Linked DNA regions of Mytilus edulis. The protein of the gene in region 1 purifies or fractionates together with the protein of each later gene. This does not show direct contact. Links are inferred from orthologs where the notes say so. Each region holds a gene or a part of one and is shown in the gene's direction. Other genes may lie near its edges.

Region 1 (11,192 bases):
GTTATGGCTTTGTGATGTCATATTTGTATGACGTAATCGACACCATTTTCGAATCGAGTAGACCTTGGAAGAATCCATTTCAGCTTGTAGACACTAAAGGAAAAATATAAGCCCTTTGCGGCATAACAGATGAGAATCCATCGATAGCGAGATTGTTTGTCATTAAAGTCTTTATATCAATTATCATTATGTAAAACGAACTTGGAAAATGCTTTAAAAACATTGATTCCCAATTTAAAAGAACGAATTCAATTAGAACTTCGACATCATAATCAAAATCAAAGCCCCGAAAAACACTGTCACAACAACGTTTAAAAAAAACATGCTCTACTTGAAATTATCAATACAGAGTAAAAATATGTAAAGCATGGTATCTAGTCCGAAAATACTATATGTCCGTTAAACTGGAACATCTGAACTGCATCTATTCATATAGCAATCTCTTTTTTTAGCATTACATAAAATCTAATTATGTATATGAGTCCCCACAGGGCTCCCGTCACAAAACTTTTAACTAACGTTTAACGTTAGTAATTTCGATGTTTTTTAAAGAAAACGAAGAAAAAAAAGGGATTGTGCATTTCAGAACGGAGAAATGAAGCCAATATGATAAATTCCTAATAAAAAAGAAACGGTAGCATGCATTCGTTTAAATTTTTGTCAATTTATTTCGATTACTGATGCGTTGAAAGGGTGTCTACCAAAATGTCACAAAAATGGCATCTTCATTTTTTTCTAAAATACAAAAAAACAAGTTGTTACAAATCTTTAGAAATAAGTGAAAACTGTATAATTAATAAGAAAATTTAAGCGATAATCGGAAATTCTCAAACCGAAGGAACATTTCAATATAAATAGGATAAAGATTAAATATGTACAAATTATCAAAATACATTGGTCACATGGTGGTCTACCAAAATGTCACAGCGTCGCTTATTTGACGTTTTTGACGTTCACCGTGTTGTTTTTTTTTGCGTTATGGCGGTTTTTGAAGCGTATTTATTTTGTTATAAAAACATCTAAAACTTAATTCAGAATATACTTTTTCTTTCAAATGTTTTTTCTTTCGTGTCATTTTTTGTGAAGCTAATGAATCAGAAACCCAACAACAACAAAATTCTACATGTATATACAAAATTAATAGCTTCAGTGGAGAACATAATTATCGCCTCAAGTACAACTAGCATATCATACATAATGGATATTCGTATTACTTAAAGTATTGAAATACATATATGTATACGAATACGGACACACTGACACATATCGATATGTAAACAATCAAATACGGAGATATGTTATACGTACAGCTAATTGGATGTTAATATTTCCAAACATAGGTTGAAATTTTTCCGTTTTATGAGTAATATTTTAAAAGTATATATGTATCAAATAAAAATCATCGATACTGTATGTTGCCTTACATAGATATTGATGAAGAAAGTTTTGACATTAAATCAACATGTTGGATATTCAGGTTGGCATGTCAAATATTCAACTCAACATGTCTGATATTTTCAAGTTGACTTGTTAGATAATTATACTGACTTGTCAGATGTTAGGTCGACGTGTTAGATATTGAAGTCGATATAGTAGATAATTGTGTCACCATACCAAACAATGTGACTTAAATACAACAAAAACCGCAACCCAAGCTCTTTAACGCCATATACTTAAGAGTAGAACAAAAACATACTACTAGAAATAATCTGTATATTGTCAAAATATATAAATAAGGAGATGTGGTGTGGTTGCCAATGAGACATTTATCCACTAGTAAGACTTAAGTTCTAATGACGAATACAAATGCAATTATAGGTCATTGCATTTGTACCCAAGTAGAATCTGTAGCCGAATTTTGATATAAACAAATAATTAGGAACTATTTTAAAAGTTGTAATAGAAAGGTCCACAGTATGCCACTGGTGGACTTTTGAAAAATCAAGCAGATATTGCCGTTATACGCGGGCAATTTCGGATACGTCCGGCTGTAGAATTGTTAACGATTAACAACACCACTGTCATATGCGTGCAATCGAAGAATTTTTAAATATGTAGAAGAAATTCCTAGAAATAGAAAATCGTTTAAACCAATAAAGGGGATACGGACCATACATCGAGTAGAAACAAAAAATCTACAAACGGTACTAGTTCGAACCGTGTCATGCTATTGTGGCGGGTGCCTTGAGCATGACCATTGTTTGTTTACTGATCTAGTTGGCATTTCGTTGGAAGTCAAAGTAGAGCGAGAGCTAGGATTCCAATTCAGGGGAGGAGACATTAGAAGATGACAGATATGAGACATTCGTTAATATGATAAATACCGGTCAATTTTTTGCAATTTATGTGATGATGAGGAAAATTGTCTCTTCCTCCTTAAAGCTACATCGGGGAGTCATAATTATGTTAACAGGAGAAGAAACTAATGAGTGGGGGTCGACATTTTCTGATGGAACATCTGTAATTAATGGACATTATTTCATAAAGAAAAACACATCACGTTTTACAGTACAGTCTTTTTTAAAATCAAAAGACAATTGTCTCAAGCGCTTCCGTGTTGTATGTATGTCAAGACAATGTTTTGAAAAGAAATAAGCTCATTTTTGGTTGCACTTTGTAAATATAGCTGTTTCTCAAACCACGCCTCTTTTGGGGAGATCTTGAATATTCATAGAAAATTAATTTTGTTTACATACTGGTTCCCAGTTATGCTCTCTGTGTTCCATCTCACAGAGACATAACTTGGGAATGTTACCAGTAAATATACACATGCATTGATTTTCATTTGAAATTTTTATTGTGTCACGGCTTAATAATGTGTCACGACACAGGATGAGAGCACTATAGAACTTTCTCAATATTGTATCAATATTGTCCGAAGCAATAATATCTATTACATTGAAGAATTTTTTTATTATTTTTTTATTTCTCCAATTGATATTAAAAGAAGTGATTTAGAAATGTATGACGCGTTACTTATCTTTTCTCTCGCGTTTGATAGCTCTTGCATTAAACAATGAGTATTTTGTTTGTGATATTTAGAGAAATGCAAAATTTAAAGAATTACAAATTAAAGAGCAGACAGCAGCCGAAGGCCACCAATTCAGCGAGAATATCCTGCACCCGGAGGCGCGCCTTTTATAACCATCCAATTCCCCAAAAAATCAAACTTGACAATCAAATATTGTTATCGTAGAATTTTGACAGACTTTAAAATCTTACAATCATTGAAAATACGCAAAAGTTAATTTGTTAAAGGTTGATATAAAAAGATTATACTCCCTACAGCCATATTTAAAGTTTAAAACAAAAAGAACAAGTATAAAAAAAATCTAAAAATTGGAAGGGTTTCTCCTCTTCAGTGCGATTTTCATAATAAAAAAAATCTTGTTTTTTCGACCGGTAAATATTATTTTAAAACAAATTGTGCATGAATGCATACGCGTGGACTTGAATGTAGCGTAAATCCCACAATTTCTGTTTTCACAAAACACCATACGTATTCCTTATATATATTTCCATTTGTCTAGAGGTCCCCTGGCATACACCCGTATCTCCTTTTATTAACAGAAAACCAAGCGTTAAACTTGTGGTTAAGTTGTTAAATATAATGGACGTCAATATTACAAAACGTCAATCATATAACATGATTTTGACGTTACGACGTTACCAAAAGTGACACCAACATCGAGCGTAACGTCCATGTATTGCTATACCGTTATTGATACATACTGTCGGTCTTCATATTTTGGCACCACACAAGGTCGTGTTTTCAGACTATTAAGACATCCGAGATTGATTGATTTCATATGTTTAACACTATCTCAGCACTTCTGGCTATATCATGGCGGCCACGTTGTATTGGTGGAAGAAATCGGAGGGAACCACCTGAACTAGCAACCATAGGCAATTGAAAAACATGGAGTCGAGGGCACCCACCATGTGCAGGGTTCGAACTAAATGCAAGAATGATGATTTTTTTTCTCATAAACTAGTACATGGCTAAAGTAAAAAACAATAAAGTACGTAAATTGTGAATTAATTCATTGCTGTTCAGGAAATTTTGACACTAAATCTTTCGGATGTATACTGAATGATATTTTGTTTTTGGTACATGATGGTTTATTAGCTGCTGTTGTGTTTAATCGATGATTAGGTATACAAGATACTTAAAATGCAACATGCTTGTGTACTGTCGGTCATTTGATGCAAAAAAAAAATCAAAATAATAATTCCAAAATTCCATGAACACACACACTCTCACAAAAAAATTTCATTGCATGTGACCCCTCAGGTAATCCGTAGTTCGATTAGGAAATATTTTCATTGATAGCATTTTGTTGTGAAATAATGTTTTGACAAGTTTCATGGAGATTTTTTTGTTTTAAAATATTTCATTGAATGGTGGCTTATTTCATGTTACAGATGTAATTTTTAATTTTTCCAGTCAAATATTGATGGATTTCCAGGAAGAAAAATCTAGAAAATCAGCAGAAATGGCATACAATGTATTTGTTAAATTTATACGCTGGAACTATATATGTCATCAGAGACATTTAATACATTATCATTGCATAATACATGTGAAACGGCATAATGTGTCTTACTCAATGTTCAACAAATGTTATGAAACTTATGTAAAATGCTATTTACCACAAAACATTGTTTTGTGGTAAATAGCATTTTACATAAGTTTCTTACATAGATCAATTTTGAATTTGGAGTGCGTCCCTTTTAGTGTTCCAGAGTTGTGCCCCTTTGCAAATGAAAAAAAAAAAAGCTGAAATTTAAGTTACCGTTCTCTTACCTGATTTATGTTAATGTTATGAAACCTTTAAACCGTTCCTGCTCTTTACCACAAAACTCAGATCAAGTCAAATTTGGGTAGTGTCACTATTACAGTTCTTGAGTTATGTCCCTTTGAAACTGCGTTAATTATATACAAGCAGGGCCCTGGGCATCATCTGTGTCCCATGAACACATTCCCCATCTATTTAAAATGATATTGTATTCACATAGAAGTTATTTCAAAGTTAAGATGTTGAAAGAAAATCGTTTTAATAATGTGACGTTGCATATGCATAAAATGTATTTATAGAATGTTAATATTTTATACACGAAGCACTCATAGTGACGCAACGTCAGATATTGCTACCATTTTTAAATTTTTAAAGTGTAATAGAAAAATAACGTTGATTAGAAACGCGCACTATCAAGTCAGTGGCGGATCCAGAAATTTTCATAAGTTGGGGCCCGCTGACTGACCTAAGAGGGGGCCCGCTCCAGTCACGCTTCAATGATTCACTATATAAGCAATCAATTTGTTTTTCACAAAAAGGGGGGCCGGGCCCTGGCCCCCCCTAAATCCGCCTCTGCAAGTGTTTCCTGCTTTCCTTGTTGGGTAAATGCAAAGTATAGCATACAAGTAGAAATACCGAGATATTCCATTCCAATATTACTTTATAATTTACATAGGATATTACATTGTACTTCTAGTAATAATGTGTTTTTCGGGGAATATCGCTGCATTATATAAACAACCCGAATATGATTTTATTTAAGCAGTGGAACAAGAGACAATTAAATGGCTTATAGTTATGACACTGAAGTTTTTAAAACTTTTTGATCGTCTTATAGATGTGTATTTTTGTAATATGTGCATCATTTCGTTTTGTTGAAAGTAGGACATTTACATTAAGTGGAGGGAGGAACCTGCGAATGCAATACATGCCGTCCCATATTACGCTTGTGGCGACGTCAAATAATGTTAACGGACAACCTTGCAAGATATTTTCATTAATCCTTAATTTTTATAGGTAACCCTGTAATCTTAATACAATTTGGTGTAACAATTTCAACTTTTAAAGTACTTTTTATAGGTATAGTAATCAAAGCCGAAAAATAATCTTCATGAAATAAAATCTCTGTTTTTTTTTTGCAGTAAAAGTTTTCAGAATATTTATGCTAATTCTATATTGAGACGGCCATGTAAACCAGTACTGAAATATATCACGTCATAGAACATTCATGCAAAATTTCAAAGAGTTGCGTGAACATTTCGCGAATTGTTCGAGATTAATGTTTCAAGTTTGTTACATGGGACAACGCCAAGTGAACGTTTTTTTCTGATAATCTGTGTCTTCCGAAGCCTATGAATATTATATTTTTATTCTTTCTCTATCATAATGTGAAAATTTAAGAAGCAATCTTTATTTTCATATATAATTTCAAATATTCATTTCAGCATTTCTAAGAAAATTTTCTTATCAAATATTTACTTAGCGCTATTTTTCGTGGTAGAAGCAATATCTAACGTTGCGTCAGTACATTGGTCAATATATAGATTTGTTACTTGCAATGTCTAGCTAAATAAAATCTATGAACGGTCGGCACTGCCTTAAAGTAGTGTCTCCACCATGACAGTCTTGAACATTAAAAACTCAATATTAAATAATATACTGCTATTTTCAGTGTTTGGTGAAGGTTGGCTGTCACTGTGCAAAACAGTTTAACATACATAGAACCCTATGGGGGAAAACCAGAGAACTCTCTTTTTTGTCAGAAAAAGATCTGTCAAACAGCCGTACATACTATCCACACTAATCTGTATCCACACTTATTTAATGAGCAAAAACTTATTTTCCGGGTTTCCGTGCTTATTCCGTCATTTGACTAAATTTAGAAGCACCACCAATCGGAACACCTCTGTTATTTACATTAGGAACATGATGCAATAACAACAAACTAAAATGTGTTTAAAGAATTCAACTATCTTGCATCATTTTATGGTGTATAAGTTATTTATTTGTTGAGAATTTCTGCAGTACAGAACACTTTATAAATTTCTTTTCTTAATAGTATACTGAAATTATTTTGTATTTAATCCAAAACAGTCATGAAAGTTGATGAAGTTTTACAGTGTAGTTTTCCCTCTTGGTATAATAAATTTAAGGATATAACAATAAAGAGGTAAATATAAATTGTGGGAATATGAACACATGCTTTTGAACACTTAATAAAAGTACAAGATTGATATTTCAAGATACAGATTATGTATTTTAGGTACCCAGATATACATGCACAACTGATCATCTGATCTGATCATCAGTTAGTCCGAGCTTGTCTGGCAGAAAGTCACAGGACATAAAGTCACAAATTTGATAGGACAAAAAGTCACAAATATTTTTTTGACAATTGTTCAAATATATTTTGAAATATTTTCTTTTAATTACATATAATCATTTTTAAATAATAAGAAAATAGCTCATAAACCTTGATAAATGAAAATTTATTAAATTTTAATCATGCAAAGGATATTTTTATTGGCAAAATGAAGCGATTTAGGTACCAAGTCACTTTGACATTTTGTTTTCATAACAATTACTTGATCGTTTTTTATATTTATTGAGAAGATTTTTATTACAAAGTTGCTTGAAACATAAAACTTCAAGAAAAATACAAAAAAAATATTTTCAAAATAAATGTTTTCTTGTTCAAACAAAAATAATCTCAAAACTGAATTGTGACTTTTTGTCCTGTGACTTTTTGATCGTGACTTTTTGTCCTGTGACTTTCTGTCCTACATTCTAGCAAAACAGCCATTGGACGTCAGAGTAATCTTGGACTAATCATCAGTCTGATCTATATTTGGAAATCTGTGCAGGTTGACCTAAGAATCTACATCGGCTGAACTATTTACGTCATACAACAATCACTTTTCAGTTGTGGTGTCAGTTGTTTTCTTTTGTGACAACATAGAATAGAATATTTTTATTTCCCAAATTACAGGGCCAATAAAGGGCATAAAATCAGATACAACTGATTTACATAATTGGTAAAAACAACAATAATAGCGGCATATACATATATATTTAGAGTATAAGCATTGGTCAGAATCAGAGCCAAAAACAACATATATATATTGTGAATAAAAGAATAAAATTACATTACATGCATTTATTTCAAATTATTTACTTGACTAAGTGTCAGTGTTCAGAATCCGGGTCTGTTCGCGCCTAATCACATTCGCTACCATTAACGTTCGCGCCCTTTCACTTTCGCACCCTACACGTTCGCACCCAAACTCCATTCACACCCCACACGTTCGCGCACAATTTTCATTGGTATTATTTATATAATTTGGAATCGAGTTTTGGTAAGTGTATTGCTATATATATATATAAATTTTTTTTTCTCCATTTTCTCTACATATATATACATGTAGTTAGATTCTGACTGTTATATGTCAGTTTGGTATGGTCAAGTCGTTTGGTAAAGTTAACATACTTTTATGAGAGTTATCTCTCCTTAACCAGTCATTGGTGTATTGATATGCGGATTGCATTCCGTATTTGTATTATATGTTAGTTTATCTTGTTCTCTTGATTTATTGTTACCATACCATGTGGATATGTTTTTGAAGAATAGAACATTATTAACTTGAACTTTAGTTTAATTACTTATGCCAGAGTAAAGCATAAAATGACAACGTTTTTTAATGTGTTGAATAAATCTTAATGATGTTTAGGCAAGTGTACTGCTCTATATAAATATATTTTTTTCATTGTTTCTAAATAAAGTGAGATCTTAATCATGTTTAGGCAAGTGTACTGCTCTATATATAAATATATTTTTTTCATAGTTTCTAAATCAAGTGAGATTCTGACGTTTTTTTATGTGTTGATAAAATCTATATCAGGTTTTGGTAAGTGAATTGCTATAAATAATTTTTTACATGAGTTCAAAGCAGCCAAGCTGTTAAAAACAATTATCTTTCAAGTTTTTGATTTAAAATCTTCAAAGTTTTACTCATACCAAGCTAAATACATGCAGTATTTACATCAAAGCAATTTGCAAGTTAAAACAACAATCATGATTTTTAAACACTCAACAATAACACCAAATGTAGCTGTGTATAATTTACCAATTAGCAGTAATCATACATAATTAACATTTAATAATTAATCATCAAATTAATAAACAAAATCTACATTATAATTCCTCAAAACCTGTAGGGAGCGAACAGACTTCAGGGGCGAACATGTGAGGCGCGAAAGTGTAGGGTGCAAAAGTGTATTGGGCGCGAAAGGACCTGATACCAAGTGTTCATACCTGATCTCCTTAATTCAAAACAGTCACAAATATAACAGCCCAGTTTTTCCATAAGAGTTTCATTTTCTTGCTTCAAGAGCCATAAAAATTTAGAAGATTTATTTAAATTTATAAAATTATAACAATTCATTATTGTTAGAAATGCCTTGAAAAAAATCTTCCTTTTGAATATCATAAAGAGGGCATGCTAATAAAAAATGAAGCATATCTTCAACTTTACCAAATGAGCAATTAGACAAAGACGCTCAGTTCTTTTTATTTATTTTTTTAATATCTGTTTATCTCAATTTTTAAAGAGTGAGCGCTTATTCTTAATTTACAAATTGACTGTCTTTTTTTGAAATCCTGTAGTTCACATTTTCAGGGGAACCTTTGTGATGTCCATATAGCGATATGGTGTATTAAACTCACAAATTCAAAAAGAACCTGAGAATTGATAAACATTAGAATTACCTAGGGAATATTGGCCACATGTATTTGGGGAAAAAAAGAAATTGAAAATCTCATAAAATCAATCATATGATGAGTTTAAATGTGCATAGTTCCTTGTGTAACCTCTCTGTACAGTGCTATTGTGATATACTTTTTAGCTCACCTGTCCCGAAGGGACAAGTGAGCTTATGCCATCACTTGGCGTCCGTGGTCGTCCGTCGTCTGTCGTCGTAAACTATTTCAAGAATCTTCTCCTCTCTGAAACTACTGGGCCAAATACTTCCAAACTTTAACTGAATGTTCCTTAGGGTATCTTATTTATAAATTGTATCCGAAGTTTTGATCTATCAACAAACATGGTCGCCATTGCTAAAAATAGAACATAGGGGTCAAATGCAGTTTTTGGCTTATAACTCAAAAACCAAAGCATTTAGAGCAAATCTGACATGGGGTAATATTGTTTATCAGGTCAAGATCTATCTGCCCTGAAATTTTCAGATAATCAGACAACCCGTTGTTGGGTTGCTGCCCCTGAATTGGTAATTTTAAGGAAATTTTGCTGTTTTTGGTTATTATCTTGAATATTATTATAGATAGAGATAAACTGTAAATAGCAATAATGTTCAGCAAAGTAAGATTTACAAATAAGTCAACATGACGGAAATGGTCAGTTGACCCCTTTAGGAGTTATTGCCCTTTATAGTCAATTTTTAACCATTTTTCGTAAATCTTAGTAATCTTTTACAAAAATCTTCACCTCTGAAACTACTGGGCCAAATACTTCCAAACTTTAACTGAATGTTCCTTAGGGTATCTAGTTTGTAAATTGTATCAGAAGTTGTGATCTATCAACAAACATGGTCGCCATTGCTAAAAATAGAACATAGGGGTCAAATGCAGTTTTTGGCTTATAACTCAAAAACCAAAGCATTTAGAGCAAATCTGACATGGATAATATTGTTTATCAGGTCAAGATCTATCTGCCCTGTAATTTTCAGATGAATCAGACAACCCGTTGTTGGGTTACTGCCCCTGAATTGGTAATTTTAAAGAAATTTTGCTGTTTTTGGTTATTATCTTGAATATTATTATAGATAGAGATAAACTGTAAACAGCAATAATGTTCAGCAAAGTAAGATTTACAAATAAGTCAACATGACGAAAATGGTCAGTTGACCCCTTTAGGAGTTATAGCCCTTTATAGTCAATTTTTAACCATTTTTCGTAAATCTTAGTAATCTTTTACAAAAATCTTCTCCTCTGAAACTACTGGGCCAAATACTTCCAAACTTTAACTGAATGTTCCTTAGGGTATCTAGTTTGTAAATTGTATCTGAAGTTATGATCTATCAACAAACATGGTCGCCATTGCTAAAAATAGAACATAAGGGTCAAATGCAGTTTTTGGCTTATAACTCAAAAACCAAAGCATTTAGAGCAAATCTGACGTGGGGTAATATTGTTTATCAGGTCAAGATCTATCTGCCCTGAAATTTTCAGATGAATCAGACAACCTGTTGTTGGGTTGCTGCCCCTGAATTGATAATTTTAAGGAAATTTTGCTGTTTTTGTTTATTATCTTGAATATAATTATAGATAGAAATAAACTGTAAACAGCAATAATGTTCAGCAAAGTAAGATCTTCAATT
Region 2 (10,697 bases), on another chromosome or scaffold:
GAAATTGATATTTATATAATACTTGTACGTGTAGACTAGATTGTAATGTTTCTTATAAACAGGCTCATAAACATGATGTTTATAACCCCGCCGTATTTTTGCGCCTGTCCCAAGTCAGGATACTCTGGTCTTTGCCTTAATTTAGTCTTGTATTATTTTTAACTTTAGTTTCTTGTGTATAATTTGGAGTTTAGTATGGCGTAAAAATTCATTATCACTGAACTAGTATATATATATTTTTTTAGGGTCCAGCTGAAGGACGCCTCCGGGTACGGGAACTCCTCAGTATTGAAGACCTATTGGTGACCTTTTGTTGTTGTGTGTTGTATGGTCGGGTACGTTGTTGTCTCTTTGACACATTCTTCATTTCCATTCTCAATTTTATTATATACTTTATATACTTGAATATATAAATGCACATTTTTACCCATATGGGTCGAAGGTATATTTGAAATATACTGAATCTCACATATGATAATATACCGTTTGAATGGTTTTACACTAGTAATTTTGGGGCCCTTTATAGCTTGTTGTTCGGTGTGAGCCAAGGCTCCGTGTTGAAGGCCGTACTTTAACCTATAATGGTTTACTTTTTAAATTGTTATTTGTATGGAGAGTTGTCTCATTGGCACTCACACCACATCTTCCTATATCTATGAACAGCGATAAACAATTATTTTCCATTGAAATGTTGATGTCTAATAAGAATTGAGTGTGCACTTTATACAAAAGAAAGCTTTCTGTGGTTAATGATAAGCGAAGATATAGACACATTTTTAACAAATTAAATGGACTTCTGATACAATATGGGATCACTACATCTTCACCTATTAAACCCAAATCAAAAACTTTTAACAGAGCAAACAACACAAAGTGCTTACGAATCTTGAATATTAATTTTCAAAGTCTGAGGAAGAAAGGAAAGCTATTAGAGCTTCTCATAATAGATACAGATCCCGATATCATACTGGGAACAGAAACTTGGCTCGACGACACCATATCATCAAGCGAAATACTATCAAATGACCTTGATTATAATATCCAACGCAGAGATAGACCAACTGATCGACATGGGGGTGTTCTCATAGCAGCCAAAAAACATCTACAATTACATAATGTATATAAAAGTAAAAATATTGAAATGATCAGTGGAGTAATAACAACGAACTCAAAGAAAATCACATTGGCATCATACTATAGACCTCCAAATAGAACAGACAACGAGTACCTAGAATATACACAAGATGAATTCAACCGCCTTAAAAATAGCACCAAAAAGAACATCCTTATTATTGGTGGTGACTTTAACATTCCAGACATCAATTGGGAACAGTTAGCCATAAATGGTAAGCAATATCCATCCAAAGTGAACCAAACCTTCTTGGACATAGTAGCAGACATTAATCTTGAACAAATAGTAGACTTCCCTACAAGAAAAGAAAAAACTCTAGATTTAATTTTGACTAGCCATCCAAGTTTTAAGCAGAGATGTAAACCAATTCCAGCTATTGGTAACAGCGACCACGACATTGTCCTTCTTGATACCTCAATTAAAACACAAAAACCTAAACCGGTTAAACGTAAAATACAACTATGGAAAAGAACCAACATAGATGAAATACAAAATGAGGTGAGGTTATTTGCTGAAACCTTTAACCAGACGACCTTCACTAATATTGAAAACATGTGGAAATATTTCAAAGAAAACATCATGAAAATTATTGATCAGAAAGTACCAACAAAGATGACAACTACAAAATTTACCCATCCTTGGATCAATACCACCATCAAGCGCCTAATAAGAAGGAAAAACAAGGCCCACAAGAAATCAAGGAAAACAAAGAAAAGGAGAGACAGAGATAGATATAAATACCTCCAACAACAAACACAAATGGAAATAAGAAAAGCATACAAAGAATATATGAATGACATCATTAGTCTCAGTTACACTGAGAAACCGAAAAGATTTTGGTCATTCTTGAAGAGCAAAGGACAGGACTCGGTTGGAGTTGCACCACTCAAAAACAAGGAAGGATTCCTTAAAAGCGACAGCCAGAGTAAAGCCAATATCTTAAATGAACAGTTTTGCTCGGTTTTCACAAAAGAAGATGGCAGCACTATTCCCGATAAAGGTCCTAGTAACATCAATACAATGAATGACATCACAGTAACTGAAAATGGGGTATTCAAACTGTTAAAAAACCTTAACACCAACAAAGCAGCAGGACCAGATGAAATACCAACCAAAATACTGCAAATAACTGCTGCAGAATTATCACCAATTCTGACAAGAATCTTTCAGTTTTCACTTGATACAGGAGAAGTTCCACAAGATTGGAGAGATGCCAACATAGTGCCACTATACAAGAAAGGGGATACTCACCTAGCGGCCAACTATCGTCCAGTCTCCCTTACCTCCATCACTTGTAAGCTGTTAGAGCATATAGTTCACAGCAGCATAATGAAACATTTTGATCAACAAAATATACTCTGTGACAACCAACATGGTTTCAGGAAACGCAGATCATGTGAAAGTCAGCTCATCATCACCATCGATCGTATAGCCAAATACCTTTCAAATGGAACCCAGATTGACATCATACTCCTGGATTTTGAAAAGGCATTTGACAAGGTTCCTCATTCAAGACTGCTGTACAAACTCCAATTTTATGGAGTAAGGGGCCGGACAAACTCCTGGATCAGTTCATTCCTATCAAACAGGAAACAACAGGTAGTATTGGAAGGTGCTAGATCTCAACAAGACGATGTTCTGTCAGGTGTGCCACAAGGCACAGTACTAGGTCCTTTATTGTTCCTAACATACATCAATGACATGCCCGGATATACTCAATCAGATGTCCGCCTCTTTGCTGATGACAGTCTACTATACAGGGAAATTAGTAACACCAAAGATACAGAACAACTTCAGAAAGACCTTGAAGCATTAGAAAATTGGGAAAAAACATGGATGATGAGATTCAATCCAACAAAATGCAATATTATCCGCATACCACCAAAGAACAAAGAACCTATACAATACCCATACACTCTACATGGACACATACTCGAACCAGTAGATAGTGCCAAGTACTTGGGAGTTTCAATATCAAACAACCTCTCATGGAACAAACATATCCAGAGTGTTACAGCAAAGGGTAACCGAACACTTGGGTTTGTCAAACGAAACCTTAAAGAATGTACCAGGAAAGTAAAGGCTGCTGGCTATACAACACTCGTGCGACCTGTCATAGAGTATGCTTCTACTATATGGGACCCAACCAACCAAGCAAGCATCAACACACTAGAACTTATACAGAGGAGAGCTGCTAGATTTGTCTATAATGACTACACATCACGCACACCAGGGTGCGTCACTACAATGTTAGAAGATCTTAAATGGGACACATTACAGACAAGACGCCGTGACAACAGGCTATGCATGCTCTATCGTATCCAGAATGAGCTGATAGACATCAACAAGAGTACTTACCTCAAAGGTGGCGACAGTAGAACTCGTGGAGGACACAAGTTTTACCAACAGAGGGTCACCAGTGATGTCTACAGGAACTCCTTCTTTCCAAGAACAATCATGGAATGGAATACATTACCTGCCAGGGTTGCTGAAGCGGGATCAGTTGAAGATTTTCGCTCAGGGCTACAGACAACACATTAATACCAGACTGGACGATTGTACTGACATAATTTTAACCGTAACAACCTGATTTTATTGTAAATACTGTATATAGCCTTAGGGGACTAGATATGTGATGTCACCATGCGTAGTCCCGCAGAGTTTAAACGTTTCATTAAAGGAACCCAACTCTTATATGGAAGAAGAAGAAGAAGAATATATTGTATATTTTTGTCTGTTATTTGATGGTCTTTGATATTTATTCTGTCATTTAATGGATTTTTTTTTTATTATAATCTTTATGACCTTCGGGACCCAAAATTTGTTAATAAAATTGATCTTATCTTAACAAAAAGGTGACATTGATTTATGATCATTACCCGGGGATCATTTTTGATACCGACAAAGCACTTGTTACGACACTGGGCCTCTTGGTTTTTTTTCTGGATTATCTCCCTTACGAAGTTTTCAGTGTCCTTGACCTCTAGTATTATCAGACTGATGCAATAATTTGAACGATGAAAAACTGAAAAATCAAGGAAACTCGAGCTGCTATTTCATTTATCTGTGATAAAATCATCAACTTTATTGTTGATCTTTAATTTCAAGAATGGAGGACGACGAGCTGGTAAGAGGATTGAAAAATAAATGATAAAATGACTTTTTTTGAGCCGGGAATATGAGAAAAATATGGCGACTTCCATCCTCGATCACACGTGTAGTAAATTATTCGAAATCAGCATATTAGTTATGATAAAGTCACACGTTTGCATATATTTTTTTCTTCAATTCATGGTTGTTAATGCAAATCATTAAATATTGCTGAAGATTGGCTAGCATAAAAACAGAATCTCACGAAATTATCTCGTATCTGGGTTGGTTCGGTGCTGTTGACGTATCGTGTTCTCACCTGAACCACAATCACCTTTATTGTTATTATGTTTTACCATGGTGATGTTTCCAATGAACCCAATACTGTCCACAGTTCTCCTTTTGACATAATTTAATTCAGTTATGGTTAAGACAGTAGTGTCTTCTAGACAAAAATTTGTATCACTCAATATTGTTACCATTCAAACAAAGAGACTACCTACAGGCTACAGCACTTTCAGTTTCATACATATATCTAAACTTAGTATAAAGTTGGCACAGACTTGTATTTGTATTTCCCACTGCTGTTAACATGGTAAATAGCATGTCACAGAATAGATGGGTATGACCATATGTCGCAGATTCCTTTCGGCTATTGTGTGATAGTTGCGCTTGCTGGGGAATTCTGATTTAAGCTTCAAGTTGTAGTGACACACACTACCATGTCTTCCAGATGGTTCCAATCAATAGCGACTGTGCACAAAAATAGTTTTTGAACATGTCCGATTTACTATTTTGAACTACAAAAATGTATGACCATTCGTTTGTTGTTACAGACTTGTTGGTCTACAATGTACTTAGTGATAAAGTTATTCAAAGGTTGTTGCTCTGATTTGTCGTTTTGGTCTGTGGAATTTAATAAGGTTGTGCGGAGGGAGCACTTGTATCTTCCATTAAACCACTTCGAAAAACAAAATCAATTGTTTTATATAAACTCTTCATAACTACTTTAACATGGTGAATGTACAAAATGCAAATTAAATAAGCAAGAAGAACTCATCAATGCCTGATAGAATGGAAATATACAGTCTGTTGATAACATCAATGTTAGTGCTGTGATGTCAAGATTGGGTTTAGTTAAGTGACTAGTGACATTGGTCTAGATCATAAGATTTTTATTTTTAGTGAGGTACTTTGTATTTTAACCCTTCTTGAATCATCTTATAAAAGTATATATATTCATAAAACTTTTTGTAATAAACAACCTACCTAATTAGTATTACTTTTCAGAAAAAAATAATGAGATAATATTCCCTGTATTATTATCTGCTAGGCTATAAATATACATTATACAAATCGATATTGCATCAGACGTGTTTTAGTATAAAATAAAGACTGCAATATAAATTGAAACATTTATCTTTAAAATAGCAAAGGAAAAATATAATACATATAGCTCTAAGCCTCTTCTATACAGGAATATTTTGATGCAATTGGATCAGTAAAAAAGGATAAAAAAATCATTATTATTCTAGATGTTCAGAAATTAAATTATGGTTTATGAAAGAGAAAAGGTAAGTTCCTAAAATGTGTTAATTTTGAAAAAAAATCAGTTTATCAAAGTGTCAATACAAATTTTGTAAAGGCAAAATATGGCATCAAAACTAAAAAATATATACAAATGTATGGGAAAATCCTCAACATAGGTTTTGATTTCTTTATAGTTTCGAAATAAGGTTATTTAATGGTATTTTTGTGATGAAATACCATACTTTATAAAATGAGACAGGAATTAGATGATGCAACATCTGATCAATAACTTTTTCATGTAAACTAAGTTTACATTCCTGTTCTGTTTGATTCATTGATAACTTAAAAAAAATTTGTGGAAGATTTTTAAATTTCAAGTCATTTGAATATTTTAGGTAAATGAGTAGGATTTGGTCTAATCTGAAGGAAAAAAATGTTCATTATTTAAACAAATAGGTTGACATGTCTACATGTATGTATCTGGATTGTCAGCCAATATTGTCATACATTTGTACATTTCTTTCGTACATATGAGTGTAATAATTGTCTTTGTTTATATAAATTAATATAATTTACCTTTACAGACCCCCTTTGATCCTAATATGATGAAAAAGAAAAAGAAGAAGAAGAAGGTACCATTTGATTTAGATGCAGCTATGGGTGATCCAGAAGGAGCAACAGATGGGGCACCAACCCCAGAAACAACTGAAATCCAAGAGGAACCAAAGGAAAACAAATCTGAAAATCAAAGGGAGAAAGTAGACGATGGTAATACATAATGGGAAATAATTTGGAAATACATGTATATGTGAAGTGTACATGGTGTACAATGTATGTGAATAGAAACGATGAGTTCATAACTTGACTACATGGGTGATCTGAGGTGCTCAAGAAGGGTATGAAGATCCTGCATGAGCCAATAAATATCATTGATATTCGACATGCTTATATGATCAGATGAATAAAACAGGACATATAAGTGAAGACTTACAGATGAACACTCAAAGCTACATTGATATTGATATTTTATCTGAACAATAATTAGGTTTTTCACTACTCTGCAGAAATTAAATCCTAGAGTATGACTTCTTTCTCAAAAACTATGAGTCTTAGGACATCTTTCGCAGAGAATCGTGAGGAGTGAAAGTTTAATGAGATGACTCATGATCATTGTATTCATTTGCACAAGGACAATTTCTATCCAAAACAGCTCATTTGTTAATCTATAATTTGACTTTCCAATAATGAATTCAAATTTTTCAACTTAGTTATAATAGCCACACTATAAACAAATAAGCACAATGTTGCCTGTGTATGTCCCTGGTACACAATGACATCACCTTGTACATGTATGTATATGAATTCTCTAAAATGCTTCACGCTGGCACATTTGTAACTTTTTTTTTAATACATTGAAAAGAAAGTGTTTATTTGACAGATTATATTATGGTTTCACACAGATTATATTATGGTTTCACACAGATTATATTATGGTTTCACACAGATTCAGCAATTTGATGTAGAAGAATGAATTTGTTTGAATATTTTCAGATATGTCATTAGAATTTAGCCTTGGGATGAAAAAGAAGAAAAAGAAAAAGAAAGCATTTGAACTGGATGACATTGGAGATGCTCTGCCTGTAAGTAAAAGTATAAAGTTTAGATCTGGTTTCCATGTTAAATTAGGGGCCTCAGCGGCCAAGTGGTCTAAGTAGTTCTTACTACTGTAATCACTAGCCAGTCAACACTGAGGTTGTAAATTCATACCCTGCTCCTGGGGGTGCACACAACTTCAATCTTAATTGACTAGTATTGTCAGTTTTTCTATTTAAAGTCTGAGGTTTTCTCTAGGCACTCTGTTGTATGAACTAGAACACGTGTGCGCATGTGTACAGGTGGGAAATTTAATTATGCATCCTACATTTCTACAAAAATGCTTCAATAATCATTGATATCTGTATCTAACGTTCATTTCAAGTATTTTGTTGAAGAAATGATGCGGAAAGAGCTTCTTCACTCAGTCGTGCTTTGTAAACGTACACAGATTTTACGTATCTGTTTCTAGTCCATGTTTTACCAGTCAGGTCAACATCCGGTATAAGGAAAATGTGATTTTTAAAACTAAAGTAAAATGTTTTGACAAATAAAGAGTATGGATATCTATAAAAAGGTTTAATACCACTACAGGAAAGTTGGGATTGATTTTGGGGGTTATGGTCCCAATAGTTAAGGAAGAAGGGGCCAAAAAGGGGGCCCAAAATAAGCATTTTTGTAGTTTTAAAACAATAACTTGTGTTTAAGTGTATGAATCTCTCTGAAATAATTCCACAGGTTTCCATACCATGAAAGGATGGTAATTAATGACTTTGGGGGCTTATGACTCTAAATGTTTTGGAATTAGGGGCTAAAAAAGGCGAAATTAGGGGCCCAAAAAATGGGATAAACTAGATTTTCCAGACCAACTTTAGATTTACTGAATGGATCTCTATTAATTTCTACCAGAAGGTTCAATACCACTAATTAAAGGAAGGTTTGGATTGATTTTGGGGGTTATGGTCCTTATTGTTTAGGATTTAGGGGCCAAAAAGGGGGTCCAAAATAAGCATTTTTGTAGTTTTCAAACAATAACTTGTGTTTAAGTGGATGAATCTCTCTGAAATTTTACCACAAGTTTCCATACAATTGATGGTTAGTAATGACTTTGGGGGGTTCTTAAAATGTTTTGGAATTGGGGGCCAAAAAAGGGGGAAACTAGGTTTTTCTGGTCAATGAACAATTAAGACAATTCAAAAGCAGTGTAATGGAGGTAAATCATAAACAGATAACATACAATTTTTGGTTTGTGCAGATTTACCTCCCTTACACTACTTGTAAACAATGTATAAAGAAATGTCAGGTTTTGGACCTATTTAAAAAAAAAGGGGATGGTAGTAGTTTTCAATTTTTTTTCTCAAATTCCAAATTTTTTATACGACCGCAAATTTTGAAAAAATTTTCGTCGTATATTGCTAATACGTTGGCGTCGTCGTCGTCGTCCGGCGTCCGAATACTTTTAGTTTTCGCACTCTAACTTTAGTAAAAGTGAATGGAAATCTATGAAATTTTAACACAAGGTTTATGACCACAAAAGGAAGGTTGGTATTGATTTTGGGAGTTTTGGTCCCAACATTTTAGGAATTAGGGGCCAAAAAGGGCCCAAATAAGCATTTTCTTGGTTTTCGCACTATAACTTTAGTTTAAGTTAATAGAAATCTATGAAATTTTGACACAAGGTTTATGACCACAAAAGGAAGGTTGGTATTGATTTTGGGAGTTTTGGTCTCAACAGTTTAGGAATTAGGGGCCAAAAAAGGGCCCAAATAAGCATTATTCTTGGTTTTCGCACAATAACATTAGTTTAAGTAAATAGAAATCAATGAAATTTAAACACAATGTTAATGACTACAAAAGGAAGGTTGGTATTGATTTTGGGAGTTTAGGTCCCAACAGTTTAGGAATTAGGGGCCAAAAAGGGACCCAAATAAGCATTTTTCTTGGTTTTCGCACCATAACGTTAGTATAAGTAAATAGAAATCTATGAAATTTAAACACAAGATTTATGACCATAAAAGAAAGGTTGGGTTTGATTTTGGGAGTTTTGGTCCCAACATAATAAGGGGCCCAAAGGGTCCAAAATTAAACTTTTGTTTGATTTCATCAAAATTGAATAATTGGGGTTCTTTGATATGCTGAATCTAACTGTCATGACTGTGTATGTAGATTCATAACTTTTGGTCCCGTTTTCAAATTGGTCTACATTAAGGTCCAAAGGGTCCAAAATTAAACTTAGTTTGATTTTGACAAAAAATGAATCAGTTAGGTTCTTTGATATGCTGAATCTAAAAATGTACTTAGATTCTTGATTATTGGCCCAGTTTTCAAGTTGGTCCAAATCGGGGTCCAAAATTAAACTTTGTTTGATTTCATCAAAAATTGAATAAATGGGGTTCTTTGATATACCAAATCTAACTGTGTATGTAGATTCTTCATTTTTGGTCCTGTTTTCAAATTGGTCTACACTAAAGTCCAAAGGGTTCAAAATTAAACTTTGTCTGATTTTAACAAAAATTGAAATCTTGAAGTTCTTTGATATGCTGAATTCAAAAATGTACTTAGATTTTTTATTATGGGCCCAGTTTTCAAGTTGGTCCAAATCAGGATCTAAAATTATTATATTAAGTATTGTGCAATAGCAAGTCTTTTCAATTGCACAGTATTGCGCAATGGCAAGAAATATCTAATTGCACAATATTGTGAAATATCAAAAAAAAAATTAATTAGAGTTATCTTTCTTTGTCCAGAATAGTAAGCAAGAAATATCTAATTGCAAAATATTGTGCAATAGCAAGATTTATTTTTAATTGGAGTTATCTTTCTTTGTCCAGAATCAACTTAAATCTTTGTTATATACAATATACAATGTATATTCACTTTTTACTACCAACTGATAAATTAAAATAATCTTTACCATTCAGTGATAACAAGCAGTTTTTTTACATCTTAATATTTTATGATGTATTTAAATGAGTAGTTATTGTTGCAAACTCCATTAGAAATTTTAATTGAGATTAGTTTTGGAATAAGGGAAAGGGGGATGTGATTAAAAAAATTGGGTTCAATTTTTCTCATTTGAAATTTCATAAATAAAAAAGAAAATTTCTTCAAACATTTTTTTGAGAGGATTAATATTCAACAGCATAGTGAATTGCTCTAAGAGAAACAAAAATTTTAAGTTCATTAGAACACATTCATTCTATGTCAGAAACCTATGCTGTGTCAACTATTTAATCACAATCCAAATTTAGAGCTGAATCCAGCTTGAATGTTGTGTCCATACTTGCCCTAACCGTTCAGGGTTCAACCTCTGCGGTCGTATAAAGCTACGCCCTGCGGAGCATCTGGTTAA

What was found.
Region 2: the proteins of translation initiation factor eIF2 assembly protein-like (region 1) and eukaryotic translation initiation factor 2 subunit 2-like purify together in Homo sapiens (affinity purification with mass spectrometry; 4 studies listed by BioGRID and IntAct, counting the BioPlex papers as one, with this or other methods). This does not show direct contact. The link is inferred for Mytilus edulis from reciprocal best matches to the Homo sapiens genes CDC123 and EIF2S2.

The regions. Positions count from the first base shown.
Region 1 is NC_092344.1:98,225,242-98,236,433, forward strand, and holds the start of translation initiation factor eIF2 assembly protein-like, read left to right. Parts: upstream 1-6,687; 5' UTR 6,688-6,895; coding exon 6,896-6,969; intron 6,970-11,192. UniProt on the Homo sapiens protein: ATP-dependent protein-folding chaperone for the eIF2 complex. Binds to the gamma subunit of the eIF2 complex which allows the subunit to assemble with the alpha and beta subunits.
Region 2 is NC_092348.1:20,409,867-20,420,563, reverse strand, and holds the start of eukaryotic translation initiation factor 2 subunit 2-like, read left to right. Parts: upstream 1-5,627; 5' UTR 5,628-5,775; coding exon 5,776-5,796; intron 5,797-6,336; coding exon 6,337-6,520; intron 6,521-7,303; coding exon 7,304-7,392; intron 7,393-10,697.